2 linked regions of the Arabidopsis thaliana genome follow. The protein of the gene in region 1 interacts with the protein of each later gene in a pairwise test. Each region holds a gene or a part of one and is shown on either strand. Other genes may lie near its edges.

Evidence for each region. Proteins that work in one complex are often made in the same cells at the same time.
Region 2: the proteins of ARAC9 (region 1) and WAVE5 interact in a two-hybrid assay, tested with the Arabidopsis thaliana proteins (one study listed by BioGRID).

The regions. Positions count from the first base shown.
Region 1 is NC_003071.7:18,424,969-18,432,796, reverse strand, and holds ARAC9 (RAC-like 9), read right to left. Parts: upstream 3,677-7,828; 5' UTR 3,522-3,676; coding exon 3,387-3,521; intron 3,302-3,386; coding exon 3,214-3,301; intron 2,969-3,213; coding exon 2,859-2,968; intron 2,759-2,858; coding exon 2,695-2,758; intron 2,590-2,694; coding exon 2,525-2,589; intron 2,430-2,524; coding exon 2,364-2,429; intron 2,263-2,363; coding exon 2,161-2,262; 3' UTR 1,915-2,160; downstream 1-1,914. Other genes in the region: AT2G44700 (Galactose oxidase/kelch repeat superfamily protein), read right to left, coding at 676-1,782; CKB4 (casein kinase II beta subunit 4), read left to right, coding at 4,631-4,853, 4,948-5,166, 5,252-5,361, 5,432-5,597, 5,766-5,899; AT2G44670 (senescence-associated family protein (DUF581)), read right to left, coding at 7,124-7,295, 7,409-7,518. UniProt on the Arabidopsis thaliana protein: Inactive GDP-bound Rho GTPases reside in the cytosol, are found in a complex with Rho GDP-dissociation inhibitors (Rho GDIs), and are released from the GDI protein in order to translocate to membranes upon activation.
Region 2 is NC_003075.7:10,242,125-10,250,786, forward strand, and holds the start of WAVE5 (SCAR family protein), read right to left. Parts: upstream 5,427-8,662; 5' UTR 5,249-5,426; coding exon 5,088-5,248; intron 4,495-5,087; exon of another isoform or gene 4,475-4,494; coding exon 4,311-4,474; intron 4,099-4,310; coding exon 3,975-4,098; intron 3,885-3,974; coding exon 3,752-3,884; intron 3,516-3,751; coding exon 3,448-3,515; intron 3,354-3,447; coding exon 1-3,353.

The DNA.
Region 1 (7,828 bases):
CGGATCAACAATGGTATTGAAATCGAGATAGAGAAGAAAACCCTAATTAACGGAGAGATGATAGCCTGAGCTTGGTCTAAAAATAAAAGATAAATAAAATCAATATATTCTATTAAGAAAAAGACGTGGCGATCAAGCTTTTAATTCGGTAATTGTTAACAAACGAAAAACGGTAAGAAGGATTGGCCCAAATATCCTCATCCCCAATGGGCCTTTACTCGTATGGAGTTTCAAGTGTGTTGGTTGACTAATTGTATTACCGATGTTCAGTCCGGTTTTCATTCATTTTCGGTTATCTTTTTTTGGTTTCGTCTTGGTTTATAATTTATATTTGCATTATTCGGTTTAAGAATACAGTTTTCGATGGAATCGGTTTAATGGGCAAGAGAAACACAACACAACAACTCCGATGTAAAATACACTTAACTGAGTGAGTTTACAATAACACAAACTTGATTAGGTGGAACAGAGGAAGATGCTGAAACTGCAACATTAATTGAATAAATCGAGAGTTGAAGACGTAAACGCCGCAACACATTCATAATCTTGTAACACATTGTATTGATATAGACTAACGAAAGTATTAAACATCATCATCTTTAGTCACATGAATTCCTACTTCACTCCTATCCAAAACAATCATTTTACACCAAAGAAAGTAGTACTAGACATGTTTTAACCTGAAAGAGACAGACAATGACACATTCTATAACCGTTAGGGACAATCTCGACAAGTTGAGACGGTTCTGCAGCTCCATGAATTCCTACTTCACTCCTAAGCAAACCAATCATTCTACACCAAATCTCTTTGCTTTCACTAACATTAAGACTTGGTTTTTCCCATATAAACGCCAACTTTCCGTAGTATTCCCCGATTCCAACTGATCGAGCGTTGTCAAGATCAAAACCATAAACCACTCTCCACAGCATCAGTTTAGAGTCATACCACATTAACCCGAATCTAGAGAAGTAAACAAAGAGCACATTGTCAATCACGCACAATCCTACTCTAGACCATTGATCATTAGGCATCTCAGATCTCTGACAAGAACCATCTCTAGTGTCATAACAAGTCATGCCTTCACGAGATCTTAAAGCACAAACCTTCCTGTCAAATGAAACATTTGCTTTACAAATCCACCTGTGACTTTCTTTTTCATCGGGAATCGGCGCTGCTTCCCAAGTTTGCGTATTTAGATCAAAGCTTTCCGCTGCAATCTCGTCGTCCTGATAGCCTCCGATCACATAGACCTTACCGCCGACTAGTCCTACGCAATTGTACCCTCGCTTCACTAGCAAACAAGGTCCTTGACGCAACTCCCCAAATCGGGTGTCAAAGATCGAAAGTCTTGATGAAGGAGTACAAGATTCTGAAATGAAGAAGATCTTTGGACCAACGGCGTTCATGGAAAATCGATTAGGCTCGGAAGGATAAGGGAACTCAATGGATTCGAAGAGATTCTCGGTCGTACTGTTCTCGATTCTCCGGAGAGTGTACCAGTAGTCGTATACGGGGCGATAATTTTCGTCGATGAAGCCGATATAGAGATAATCTTTTCCGAGTAAAGATCGAGCCTTGTGAATTTCAGGCGAGCGAACAAGACTCCGCATGTTCTTGGAGACGGAGCAGAGGATTGGGTAATATCGTTTTGGGACGCGGGCTAAGATCATCGAAATGATTTCCAGTGGCAGTGACAAAAACAATGACGGCGATGCCGATGCCGATGCCGATGACGACGATGGTTGGTCGGTTTTTCGCGGTGGTTCGTTGGAGCTAGACATCGACTCTAGTTTAAAGGAGAAGACTAGAGAATTGAGATTTTATTGATTTATTCTATTTCGGTTTCGGTTATTAGCCAAAAAACAAAACCCGGTTTATTTATTCTTCGATTCTGTTTCAATCGGTTTATTTTGTTTCTTTTTGCGCTAAAACGGTTCTTTGTTGTTGTCTCTTGAACTCAAAGAAGACAAACATTGTTCTTTTACATAGACTGATAGACGAGAATTCGCTTATAATTCTGTTACAAGAATCTCTACTACAAGATCAAACTTTTATAACGAAGATAGCTAATCATACTAAAATCTGCAAGAGTCCTTCATAGAAGAAACACACTAAAAAAGATGTAAAACAAACCAAAGCCAGAGACTTGAGTACACTAGTCAAAGAACATGGCATAAACCGATCTTTCTCTTTCGCTTCTTAGTCTTTGAAGGAGGATGTAAAACTACTTTGATCGCTTCATCAAACACGGCTTTTACGTTCTGCAAATTTAGCATCATCATAAGTCTTTCTTTATCAGATTGAGGTCCAAAATATTTGGTCTAATTGTAAAATGTAACTCAAGCATTAATGGTTACTTTACCATTTGTGCTTTTGAGCTGCACTCTATGTATGCTAATGCTCCTATTTCCTTTCTTAGTTCTTGACCCTATAAAAGAAGCAATCTTTGAGTTATAAAAGAGTTTGATTCTTAACATGGTTCTTGATCATATACATTGAAGAAGAATCTTTAAAAAAACATACCTGTTCTGGGAAGATTGTGCAAGCACCTGGATAATTCTTTGGGAACTGCATGTTGTCTCTTAGATCTGCAATATCAAGAAATTCATCTTATATACTACATAACATCACTTACACATTGATGTTAGATTCCTAACATTCAAGACATAACAGAGTGGTTCATTATCTTCAACCTGATTTGGTTCCCACAAGAACAATAGGCACAGTCGGGGCATAATGTCTCAGCTCGGGTACCCACTGCGAAAGAAAACCGATCCATATGCACATGAGATCAGTGTTGTAAAGTTAAATTACAGTGAAATTAAAAGTAAAAGGAAAGATAATCTCAAGTCTCAACCTTTTTAGCAATGTTCTCAAAGCTAGGCCTGCTAATAAGTGAGAAGGCAAGAATGAAAACATCTGCTCCTCTGTAACTCAATGGTCTAACCCTATTGTAGTCTTCTTGACCTGTAATATAATGTGAATCACCCAAAAGATATATAACACAAGAATCATAATTGGTCTCATTTAAGTTTTGAAGAAACATGAGCAAAATCTGATAGTGAATTCAAGAACCAAAACAATGTTGCATCAAAGATTCAAATTTTTCAACTGACTTCTTTTAAAAGGACCAAAAGATTAGACCTTGACATATTGTTGTAGATATAAAGCTAAAGACAAGAACAACTTTGACATTAGGTAAAAGCATTTACCAGCAGTATCCCAGAGACCCAGATTGACAGTTTTACCATCGACTAAAACATTAGCATTGAAATTGTCGAACACTGTTGGAACATAATCCTGTAATAACAAGATCTCAACAGTCACCAAAAGCTATCAAGAAAAGCAATCCAAAAGAGAGAGAGGGAGAGATGGATTTATATACAGTGGGGAACGTGTTGCTGGTGTAGGAAATAAGAAGACAAGTTTTGCCCACAGCTCCATCGCCAACAGTGACACACTTTATAAACGTTGTAGCTGTTGCTGATGATGTTGATGTTGCAGCCATTGAAGCTGACATTGATTGAGAAAATTCTCTGATTTTACTTACCCTGTTCTCTCTCTTTCTGTGGTTTTATTCTGGTTCAAGTGAAGAATGAGAATGAGACTTGAGTGGTAAAAAAGGAGTCAACTTTAATTTGAGCTGTCAGAGAGCCAAAACGCCTTAAAAATAATTTTTTATTCGGTGGGTTTGATTTCTTTCCTATTTTTTGAATTTAGATAGATTTTGCCATATTTTACTTCTTTCCAAAAAAACTCTAATTGGTAACACATAGCTGTACATAACTTTTATCTGTTAACTTTTTTTGAAATAGTATAAAATTACTAAAAAACAGTTATATTAAAAAAAATGTATAAAAAAGCTGAGAGAAAAATCTTTTAGTAACGCTTTTGATAAAAAAAATTATAATTGGTAGAAATGAAAGTTGTACAAATTATAGTGCTTTGTTTTTTTCACCAATCAATGCAAATGCAAAGGTCCAAATGTTTCAGCAAAATGAAAATAAGTGGTGGTTATATCAAATCAAATTTTGTAAATTCAGTTACATTTACATGACTAATTTTACAAGATGTGTAATTTTAATTATCTCTAGATCATTTGTTTTTTTTTTCGATTTAAGTTTGGACAATGGATCGACCACCAAACACATCATCATTAACAAAGATGGAAAGGCAAGTCCATTATTACTACCGTGTTGATACAAAAAAAAATGAATTTTATGATTTCTTTCTTCCTAAGATATAATTTGGAATCATAGTTTAAGTACAAAAAAATGTTTCCTTCTACGTGAATCTTTGTATTACAACTGTCAGTGTCATAAGGCCCATCCGAAAAGCCCATTTCTAAATACTAGAATTTTAAAAAATTAAACAATGATTAAAAAAAAAAAAAAAAACAAAGAGAAGAAAACAAAACAGTAGAGAATGAGAAAAAACCACAGGGAAAAGCAGAGCACTCTTTATCTCTTCTTCTCTCTTTCTTCTACTCTGTGATCAAACTATCGAAGAAAAAACAAACCCTAGATTTATCCGCCCCTCTTCTTCCTCTGATGATAAGAAAGTCGAAGACTTTGAGAATCTAAAGCTGAAAAATTTTGTTTTTTTTCATTGAGGGAATCGAATCGAGTTATGTACAAGGATCGGAGTGGAGGAGGAATAATGGGTGGTGGTGGATCATCGAGATCGGAGATCCTTGGTGGAGCTATTGATCGGAAACGAATCAATGATGCTTTAGACAAACATCTTAAGAAATCTTCACCTTCTACATCTAGGGTTTTCACTTCTAAGGACAAAGATTCTGTCCCTTCTACTTCAACTGCTAAATCTCAGCTTCATTCTCGTTCCCCCGATGGTTAATTGCTTATATCTCACTCAATTTCAATTTCATGTGGTTTTAGTACTTTCTGATTTGGGTATTAATAAATTTTGATTCTTTGTGGATGCAGTTGAATCTGACACGGATAGTGAAGGATCAGATGTGAGTGGTTCAGAAGGTGATGATACCTCTTGGATCTCATGGTTTTGTAATTTGAGAGGGAATGAGTTTTTCTGTGAAGTAGATGAAGATTATATACAAGATGATTTCAATCTCTGTGGTTTGAGTGGTCAAGTTCCTTACTATGATTATGCACTTGATCTCATTTTAGATGTTGAATCATCAAATGGTAAGTGAAGGGTCCATTTGATGAATTTAGGCTTTACTTTGTCTGAGAATTGTTGTATAATTTGGAGGAATGTTTATTGGATTAGGTGATATGTTTACTGAAGAACAGCATGAGATGGTGGAATCAGCTGCTGAGATGTTATATGGTCTTATTCATGTTCGTTATATTCTCACTACTAAAGGAATGGCTGCTATGGTAAGCAAGATACTTCTTCTACATCTTTGTTTCTGATTGATCTTTTGAATGATATCTTTCTCTTTTGTAGATGGAGAAGTATAAGAATTATGATTTCGGGAGATGCCCCAGAGTTTTCTGTTGCGGACAGTCTTGTCTTCCGGTTGGCCAATCTGATATCCCGAGGTCGAGCACTGTGAAGATATACTGCCCAAAATGCGAGGATATTTACTACCCGCGATCTAAATACCAAGGCAGTATCCTTTGCTCCTCTGTTCAAAAAAGCTTTATCTTGTCATAATATGATGCATCTGCTATTGTTTGGTTAAACATTGCGATTAGCTAGTTTGTTTGCATTAAATCTTTTAGAAGATAAAGAGTGTTGTCCACTTGTCTTAGTGTTCTTTCCTTAATGCTTATTGCAGACATTGATGGAGCTTACTTTGGAACTACTTTCCCTCATTTGTTTCTCATGGCCTATGGGAACATGAAACCGCAGAAGCCGGCTCAAAACTACGTTCCTAAGATCTTTGGCTTTAAGGTACACAACAAACAATGATACTCTCTCCTCTCAACAGTCTTGTGGTTGAATACAATCTCGGTGGCTAAACCACCATTCTTCTGATGGTCACGGGTTTGAAATGGATGATACTAAACTGCGTTTGGAGGATGAGAAGAGCTAATGAAGAAAGGTCGACACTTAAAAGTTTTTCACTATGTAATCTCAAAAGTTCTAAGTAGAATCTTCAACATAGAACCGTTCTTTGATGGGTCTTGGGAAATTCTTTACCTGTGAGTAATCAATTAAATCATTTACCAGATGGATGGATTTTGCTTTGCTTAACTGTTGTCTATAATTGCTGAAAATTTAGGGTGTATCCTACTTATCTTAAGTTTCTTGTGTTGTACGGAACTAATCTTCATTTTTCAATCACTATTAACCAAAACAAATCTGAAAACAAAAGATAGATGGAACAAGAACCTAATGAAAACCAGATTTTGACATTCTGTAATACAAAGATATAAACACTTGAAACTCGGTCTAGCTCTGGTAAAGTTACAGGTCAAGAAGACTACAATCATTGAGTTATACAGAGGAAGAGATGTTTTCTTTTTTGGTTCTGAATATCAAATTCTTCATAGAAAGTGGGAACTGTCAATGTCTTAACCTAATATATGGGATCTTGAGAAGCCCATTTAAGGCCCAAAAAAGCTGTCACTGTTACACATTTAAAAGATTCCCCGGAGTTCTTAGTTAGTTGCCTGCCGTAAAATGCATACCGCCAAGAGCAGTCGAACTGACTAATTTGTTCAATGCGAATAACTATAAAAGCCAACAAATCTTAACACCACCAGTTTGAATAAATTTTGTCGATTTCTAAGACACCATTACGATCACACGCAGATACAGAAATTGAATTTATATTTATTAAGAACATAGTTGTTATGCTCTGTTTATTATGGAACATCGAACAAAATTTCAACCCCAGATTACAAAACCATCACATCACACAGCCAAAATTATTAGCATCTTTCTTTCTCTCTGCCCCCAAAACTCCACATTCATTTACATAAACCAGATCTACAATTTCTCAGATTCCGACAACCGGAATTAGAAAACTAGTTATCTCCGATCCATAGAAAGATCAATAGAAACAGAGCAAATCTTTTAGAGGCTTTGGAGATATAAGTGGTTTTAGGAGGGTTTATAGATTTTAGACAAAAAGGTATTTATATAGAAGAAAAAAAGACTATTTGCTTGATTATGTAACTGAAGCTTCTACTAAGCCACGACGAGAGTTCCTGTCCGTACGGTGTTTCCGGCGGCGGATTCTTTAGTTTCAGAAGAATTTTTCCGGAGAGATCTTGAAGATTTTTTCCACTTTCTCTCCTTAGCTTCATCAGATTCAATCTGTTCTTCTCTACACTCGTTGCTACAAAAAGCCTTGTCTCCTCTGTAAATCACAAAAACCATAAACAATCAGACCAAATAAATGAATTATAGAAAAAAACCAGATCTAGAAACTCAATTGAAAGTTTAATGCTTTAGTTTGAATCGAATCAATACCTGTACATGAAGATATCGGAGTTAAGACCAAGGTGTTTCCGGCAAAGAGAACACGATTCCAAAAAGTGTGGCTCTTCACAACCCAAAAAACCAGAGTAATACGAAGCCATTTGCTTAATTAAATACGAAAGCTTCCGAATTTACGATGACGAAATAGACTGCGAAAAGCAGATTCGAGAGGAAGAAGAAGAAGCGAGAGGAGGAGGAGGAAGAAGGAGGTTGATTTGGTGTTCATTTATAAAGCCGGCTTTAGGACTTTCTGCTTGACTTGAGCTGATCACCTGTGTCACGTACCACTTTAGTTACAGTACTCTACAATACATCCTCACCGTTCATCGTGACCGAATCTTCATCTCGAAAGATCTATACGTTAAAGTTCAATAATTCATTACTTTTATTATATTTTATTATTGTCTTTTT
Region 2 (8,662 bases), on another chromosome or scaffold:
CAGGGAAGGTTTTGTTTTGTCGACCAGTTTCTGTTGTGGAACCAGGAGCTTCTGAGCCTGAGATATTTTCATCAAAAACAGCTTCTGCAGAAGATGGATATGTGGAATCAAGTTCTTCTCGAGAGATCTTTTCATCAGGTACAACTTCTGCCCAAGACGGATATGTAGGTAAGGATTCTTCTGGCAAGTTCTTTTCCTTAGAAACAGCTTCTGCCGAAGACCGATATGTGACGCCAGGTTCGTCTGGAAAACCGATTTCGTTGGGAAAAGCTGATTCCAAAAATGGATTTGTGCCAACAAGTTCTTCATGCGAGGCTTCCTCATACGGAACGGATTCTTCCAAAGATGGATGTGTGGAACCAGGATCTTCCAGTGGCGGGATCTTCTCATCACAAACAGCTTCAGAAAAATATGGATGAGTAGCATCATCAACTTCTTCTTCTTGTGCGATCTTTTCTTCTGGCAATTCTTCCAAAGAAGGATACACTTCCGGAGGTTCTTCTGGAAAGATTGTCATGATGGGCGCAGCTTTCGTCAAAGACCGACATGTGGTGTCAAGTTGTTCTGGCAAAACCTCTTCATCAAGAACAACTTCTCCCAAACACGGATCTATGCCAACAAATTCGTCAAGTGTGACTTGCTCATTTGGAATAGCTTCTGCCGCAGACAAATTTGTGGAATTAAGAACTTCCAGTGAGACATGTTCATCACTTTCAGCTTTGGCACAAGACAACGTATGTGTAGCCTCATCAGATTCTTCTTGTGAGATCTTATCTTTAGGCAATTTTCCCAAAGATGCACACGCTTCAAAAGGTTCTTCTGGCAAGACTTCTTCGATAGGCACCACATTTGTTAAATAGATACATGAGGTGATATGTTCTTCTGGCAAATCCCTCATATCAGGAACAGCTTCTACCAAACATGGATCTATGCCAACAAATTCTTCAACTGAGATTTGCGCTTGTGGAACAGCTTCTGCCACAGGCGAATTTGTGGAACCAAGAACGTTAGGTGAGCTTTGTTCATCACTAACAGCTTCAGAAAGACATGGGTGCATGGCATCATCAGCTTCTTCATCCAAAATCTTTTCTTCAGGCAATTCTGACAAAGAAGGATACGTTTCGGGAGACTTTTCTGACAAGACTCCTTCCATTGTCAAAGAGAGACATGTGATGACAGGTTCTTCTGGCAAGAACCTTTCCTCAGGAGCCACTTCTACCAAACACTGATCTATGCCAACAAATTCTTCATGTGAGATGTGCTCTAGTGGAAGAGCTTCTTCAAGAGACAAATTTGTGGAATCAGAAACTTCTTGGGAGATTTCTTCATCACTAACAGCTTCAGATGTATGTGTGGCATCATCAGTTTCTTCCTGCAAAAACTCTTCTTCAGGCAATTCTGCCAAAGAAGGATATGTTTCCAAAAGCTCTTCTGACAAGACCTTTTCAATAGCCACGGCTTTTGTCAAAGACAGATATGTGGTGTCAGGTTCTTCTGGCAAGAGCCTTTCATCAGGAACCGCTTCTACCAAACACGGATTGATGCCAACAAATTCTTCAAGTGAGACTTGTTCTTGCGGAACAGCTTCTGCCACAGACAATTTTGTGGAATCAAGAACTTCTGGTGATAGATTTGTTTCTGCAGCAGCTTTGGCACAAGATGGATGTGTAGAATCAACAGATTTTTCTTGCAAGATATCTTCTTCAGGCAATTCTTCCAAATAATGAGACGATTCCAAAGTTTTTTCTGGCAATAATATTTCAGTAGGCATGGCTTTTGTCAAAGACAAACATGTGCTGGGAGGTTCTTCTATCAAGAACCTTTCATCAGGAACAGCTTCAGCCAAACATGGATGTATCCTAACAAATTCTTCAAGGGAGATTGGCTCTTGTGAAACAGCTTTTGGCACAGAAAATATTTTCGAATCAAGAACTTCTGGTGAGATTTTCTTGTCTTGAACAGCTTTGGGAAATGATGGATGAGCAGCATCAGGTTCTCCTGCTGGGGTCATATTGTCAAGCACAGCTTCTTCCAAAGACTTTTCAGACAAGATCTTTTCTTGCGGTATGATTTCTGCAAAAGAAGGATATTTGGCAATAGACTCTCCTGGCAAGATCTTTTCATGGGGAATAGCTTCAAGAGATGGATAGTTGACCAAATGTTCTTCTGGCAAGATCTTTTCAGCAGGAATAGCATCTTTCAGAGACGGGCATGAGATAATACGTTCTTCAGATGATATCTTTTCATTAGCAGAGTCTCCTGCAAACAAGGGATGTGCCATGACAGGTTCTTCTCGCAAAATTGTTACATCCGGAACGGCTTTTTCAGCCAATAACGAAGGGCACATGGTAAAAAATTCCCATGGCTTTTGAGAATTCTCATCATGAAACAGAGTTTCCTCACACACTGGATCTGATAGGCAACTGGAAACATTTGAGTCTTCAGGAAGGTAAGAACCTGAACAAGATTCATCTTCAGAATTTTCATGGCGTGGATCATGTGCCATTTCTTCATATGTTATATCTTCTGATCCATCATTGTTGTCACTGTTAGCATCTTCCGAACAATAAGTACTAATATCCCCAAAGTAATGCTCCAATTTCGGTTTTGGTACTCCATCAATATCACTCTCCGATTCTGATTCAATTGTATTACGAGCATCAACAAACTCATCTGCTTCACTCTCTTGTTCACTCTTATCTTCTCCTTCGTTCTCAATTCCTAGTGTTCCATCAATATTGTTGGCCTGGCTCTTACTTTGTTTTTCTCCCACAATATCTACCTCATCAAACAAAATATATGTCCTATCAAAGTCCCTTTGATTTTGCCTTACCCTGTCTGGTGTTACTGGGCCAAATTTTGACTCATGTAGCTCTGATGGTTCATCATCTTTGCGGCTTTTCTCCACCATCGATTCAAGTGTTTCTTTCTTCTCATCACAAACATTAGAAGCAGAAGGCACAAGTAGGTCTTCTGAGGGGCTATATAGGATATTATCATCTACCACTTCAATGCAGCCTTCGGGAACAGTTGAACCTATTCTATCAGCAGGACATAAGGACCCAGACAGGAATCCCTCTACTAGCTTCACTTCAGGCTTATCAACAGGACTTTGATTAATGACATACTCTATATAACCTGAACCAGTTATAGAATCACGAGCTTTTGATGACTCTTGGAAATCTGATTGTACTTGTGCTTCACTTTGTTCTTGCGCACCTGACTGCCCTTGCAGATAAGATTGGTCTACAATATCCGATAAATCTTGCATATTAGAGCTACGTGGCATGTCAACTGTGGACGTACTCCGAGAAGTTGTTGGTCTGTCATCAGTAAAAGAACTGAGATGAGCGCTGCACAGAAATTCAGGTTAACAAAAGAAATTGTCAGGATCGACTACACTTCAATGGACGAGAACTACTACATCTATATTTTAAAATAACCCACCCATTAGTTTCATCAGATGTAGACACTGCATTTGATCTGCAAATGTTTCTTTGTGGTAACCTCTTTTTCTGTCATTTCAGCAAAAGCACAAATCAGGTAAGTCAGCAGACGATAGCCAAAAAAGCACAAGAATAAAAAACCATAGCCGTTGAGATGTCTAACGAAATATATTTTATCAGGTCACACGATTCTTTACTAGTCCATTCTGGTACGAGGTACAGTTGTAAGAAGACGAAAAGAGCTCATAACCAGAAAAGAAACTCTTAGTATAACCTAAACCAAAAAAAAAAAGATAATTACAAACCTTTCTTTTGCGGTGAGCCTGATCTCTCTGGACTTTGATATCATCTGTTTTACTGGGGTTGCTTAACTCCTTTCTAAAGAATGTTGGGTCTGAGTATTTTCTCAGACACGATCCAGGACCACCTACAGCAAATCTGCAAGGAGGAAGAAAAGCAGCCACTTCAGAATAAAGATCCAATGCATTTTCTATATATATTAGGATGAACTAAAAGCTTGTCCCTTACCGGTCAAGCAGATGCAAAGGAGGAGGATCTCTGCATTGCTCATAACTTTCCATAACACACAGAGGCAAATCACTCTGAACAAAATGACTATGTCCATTCCTTATACGAGGATGCCACTCAGAGCCTACAGCAGAAACAAAAACAAAAGACTAAGAATTTTTTTCTGTACAAAAGCTCATAAAAAATATGTCACACAAATTGTGGAGACTATGTGTTCATAAAAGCTTTCATCCCTATACACAAGTGAGGTGCATGACAGTATAACTACATAGAGAACCTTCAAACTAGAAAATCTAAAATAAGACCTGAAGCTTATAGATAAGAGTAAAGCCATACCTGCAGTGTATGCAAAATGTATGTGGCTTGTCTGCGATAGAACAGCCTTTTCAAGAGGTGAGAGCGCTGACTCTATCCGTCTAACACGGCTTGTCAACTTCTGACACCTAGATGCCGTTACAGTTACTTCTTCTTGTAAGCCGTTAAATACTTCTGCAGAAAATCTACATGTAAGAAATGCCACCTGGTTAAAGAACTCTCTATCAGTTTACATTCACTTGACCATCTATGTTTCGTTCCATGGAGGAATGATACAAAAGACTAAAAAAGAATTTTGATTATGGGAGATTAACGTCTGTTTGCAAAACGCACTATGCCAATTCACTAACCTCCCCGGGTAAACAACCAAAACCTCATAATTCCTAGTTAAGTAAGAAACTTTAGTTTCTCATCATCAATAGATTAGATGTCCACATAAATTCCCAATCTTTACTTCATTTCAGCTGATACTCAAGTTAACAACTATATTGAGGTACTTCAAGGACATAACTCATCATTCAATAAATAAGACTTACACTTACTCAAAGACAATTAATTTGTTACTAAGTCTACGAACTAAGCTCAAATATCAAAACTTTTGCGAAAAGCCCTAAGCCCTGAAGAAAATCAAATTATATAGCATGTTACTGAAACCCCTAATACTCAAACTAAAGATAAAATTGATGAGCTAAAACTCATCCTAATCACACGAAACAACTTCAAAACCTACAAAATCAGCTACAAGTATCAAAATTTCAATCTTCTGTATGTATGCAACAGTCGAAAACGAGAACATACTCAGCGAGATCGCCTAACTGACGAAGAATACCGATGAGTCCAGCTACTTCAACAGCGCCGAGAATCGCCTTAGGTTCCTCATCTTCCACGGAGGCGCTACGTTGAATCTCCGGCCCACCTAAGCTTAGCTCGTTCCGTATCTTGAACCTCACCAACGGCATTGTCTCTCTCTCTTTCTCTCTCCCGCAGCAGAAATGAAACAGAGCTTAATAAATAAAAGCTGTGACCATTTAATTTAATCACTTTGACTCTTCTTCTTTATTAGAAATTTGAAACCTAATTAATTAAAGTCTCTGATGAATCATAATTAGAGAAGCCTAAAGTTAGATTCTCAGTCTCATGTGTCTGTACATTTGATTCAGCTTTTCCAGATAATTTCTCATTTTTATTTGTTCTTACGTCCCTAACTTTTTTTGTAATTATGTATGGGCCTGAGATAATAACATGTATACGGGCCTTAATTGGGCTTATCGTTATTAGGCTCAATAGCTTATTTTATCATACTATTGCTGGGCTCTTACTTTACAAAGAAGGAAAAAAAACTGAAAAAAATATGACTCATAGAATTTGTTCACAAACAAAATATTATCATACCAATATAAAATTAGCTGATGAATTATTATTTTTATACTTTTTATGTAACCAAAGGATTGTGGGCTATATAACATACCAACAGGCCCGGCCCAGAGCTAAAGATGGTGAAGCTAGGGCTTTAGGCATCACATTTTAGTAACAAAATTTGAGGCATCAAATTGTAAAATTGTTGGTGGTATAGTGGTCAACGCTTTGAATAACCTTCTTCTATGTGTCTAGTTTGAGTCTAACTTTTGTCAGAATTTGATTTTTTTTCCTCAATACCTCATTATTAATGGGTCAAACACATTTTTGCTTTAAGCAACAAAAAGACTTGGGCCGGCCCTGCATACCAATCTTCAGAAACTGTAGAGTGTCGAGTATTTTTATCACTAAAAAAGTTGGAAAATTTGAGATATGATTTCTCTATGTCTTTTATGAATACAACAAAACCAACATTCATATATATTATCTTTTTTTGTCTTCTGGTTGATATTAGAAAGAAAGAAAAAAAATACAGAGAAACTTGTTTCAAAGTAGCTTTAGAGCACATTATAGAAGATTTTACATGGTTTATTACTGGTAACACACTGCAATGGCATATTCATTCCAACGGTTTTTCTTTCCATTAACTTAAAAGATGATTGATTACTAGTCACGACTTACGCCATCATTTCGTATCATAACTAAAGGAAAAAAATGCAATATAGACAGTCTTGTAACTTTCTTAACAAAAGAAAAGGCATTCTTGCTAAGGGCAAAAAAAAATACAAATACAATAGATATATATGAATCATATGTTCCCAGGTGAAAAAACAGATGGACCCAAGTCCCACGTGAATTTTTATTTATTACCTTTTTATACTTATCTTTTGTTTTGGTATTGAGTGGATTTCTATTGATGTTGTGACAAAAGTATATCGAAAGATATATAGCCCCACACAAGATCTTCTCTTACAAAATCTTGCTTTTTACTTAGGGTTTTTCTCGTCGGATTCCTGTTCTCCGGTCACCGGAATCTTGATTTCACCGTCTGCAGTATTTTTATTCCCGACAAAGGGTACTAAATGTGTGTATCAAATAATATATATGCGCGTCTTTAATTATTATGTCTTCTCTTTTATTTCACTATTTTCATGCTTTTTATGTATTTCTGTCTTTGAACTTATTCCTTGAACTAGTACTTCTTGTCCGTGAGAAAACAATAGTTATACACAATAAGTACACATTCTAGTAGGGTTGCCTTTTTCTTAACAACACATTAATAGATTGGCTACATTTCTATTTTGAAGTTGTGTATATGTCAGTCATCGACACGTATTGATTTGAAAATTAATTTCAATAACTTGAACACATATACACGTAATAGTCATTGAATTGTACCTTAAAAATTGTAAAGCATTATCAAAAGAAAAGACCGAGGATTGTTTTGTCCCTTTTAACATTCATGGGTAAGATAATGGAAATCTATATATTATGCGTCGTCCACTTTCAGACACATTTATGCTTAAGCAATCACTCATTGTATCGTCAAAGATATGTTATTATAGTTAATATTCCACGTATATACAACTACAAAGTATCAACTAATATATGAATATGGTGTTACTATTTTTTCATTTCACGTATATGAAAAAGCACTTTTATAGAAATCATCACAAATTGGAATACCGTTGGATTTTCGAAAATAAAGAGGAGAAACAAACTTAGTAGGTATTGCTACGAGTAGGATGATGACGGTCAATGTCGTCATCATTCATCAACGTTATTGTTGTAATTATTATAATTATTTCATTATCTATTTCTTATGTATAAAGTTATAGATGTAATAGGCTCCATAATTCAACAATAGCCACTAAATTAAGCAAGTTGGAGAAATTAATTAATAAACCATTATTAAAACTTATAATGATTGATTTGGTTGCTAGTCGTACAATGGATAGCTTAAACTAATATTTTCTTAAGGAATTTTAAAAGAAGAGTATATCATAACAGTGTGTAAAGTAAATAGCTAGCCACATCAGTGACCAAAAAAGATAATTAACAAACCAAATAAAATAACAAATTTTGATCATTTGGAATAAAATTTATAAAAGGAACGAAAGCACCTTCTCACGGGTCCCATCCATTGAAATATATTCTCTCTTTTTGCTCTATATAATAATAACGCGTACTAATTTGTAGTATATATTATTACAAAGTCGATATTTGATTGTTTTGTGAACGTTGATATATTAATTTTCTTGGATGATGACAAAAAAAGTCATAGAAAGTAACGTGTGAACATAGCATTAACAAAATACAAACATAATATATAACCAAATATATGAAAATAGGATAAAATCTCATTGAATAGATCTTCTTCTATTCAAATATATAAATATTTGTTTGTCTATAAAATTAACAGAGCATTCACATTATCTAAAATAATAGTAAAATCAAAATAAAACTAAATAAAAATAACTCTGGTTTTATAACGATTGATTTTAAATATTAGTTTTTGTTGTAAAGAAATCATTATATATGTCTGTAATATTTTTATACTGAGTTACATGATATTTAGTTATTATAGCGTAATTAACTAAGATAAGAAATTAACTAAAGTGATATTCTGATTATTATTATTTTTGTTAGGACACGTACGTGGAAAAACTAAACACTATAGGTTACAAAACGGTATAATAAACTCACCATTACTGGAAAATGTTTGCATTTGACTCAATAAGTAACTTATTATAAGTTACTGATATAATGCATAGTTTTGAAATTCTTAAATAAATTATTTTGGTTTCGCATGAAAATATGAAAGGAGAGAAATTTATTATTGTCACTTATATATATATACATCGTAATCATTTTTTCGTGAATAATTCTCTCTCCCATTCCATTATTTCTCAGTATCTCTCTTTCTTTCCCTTACTTTATTGTTGCTTTTAAACCTTCAATTTGCTCATAAACCAAATATATAATATCAAAACAAACAAACAAAAAATCAGAATTCC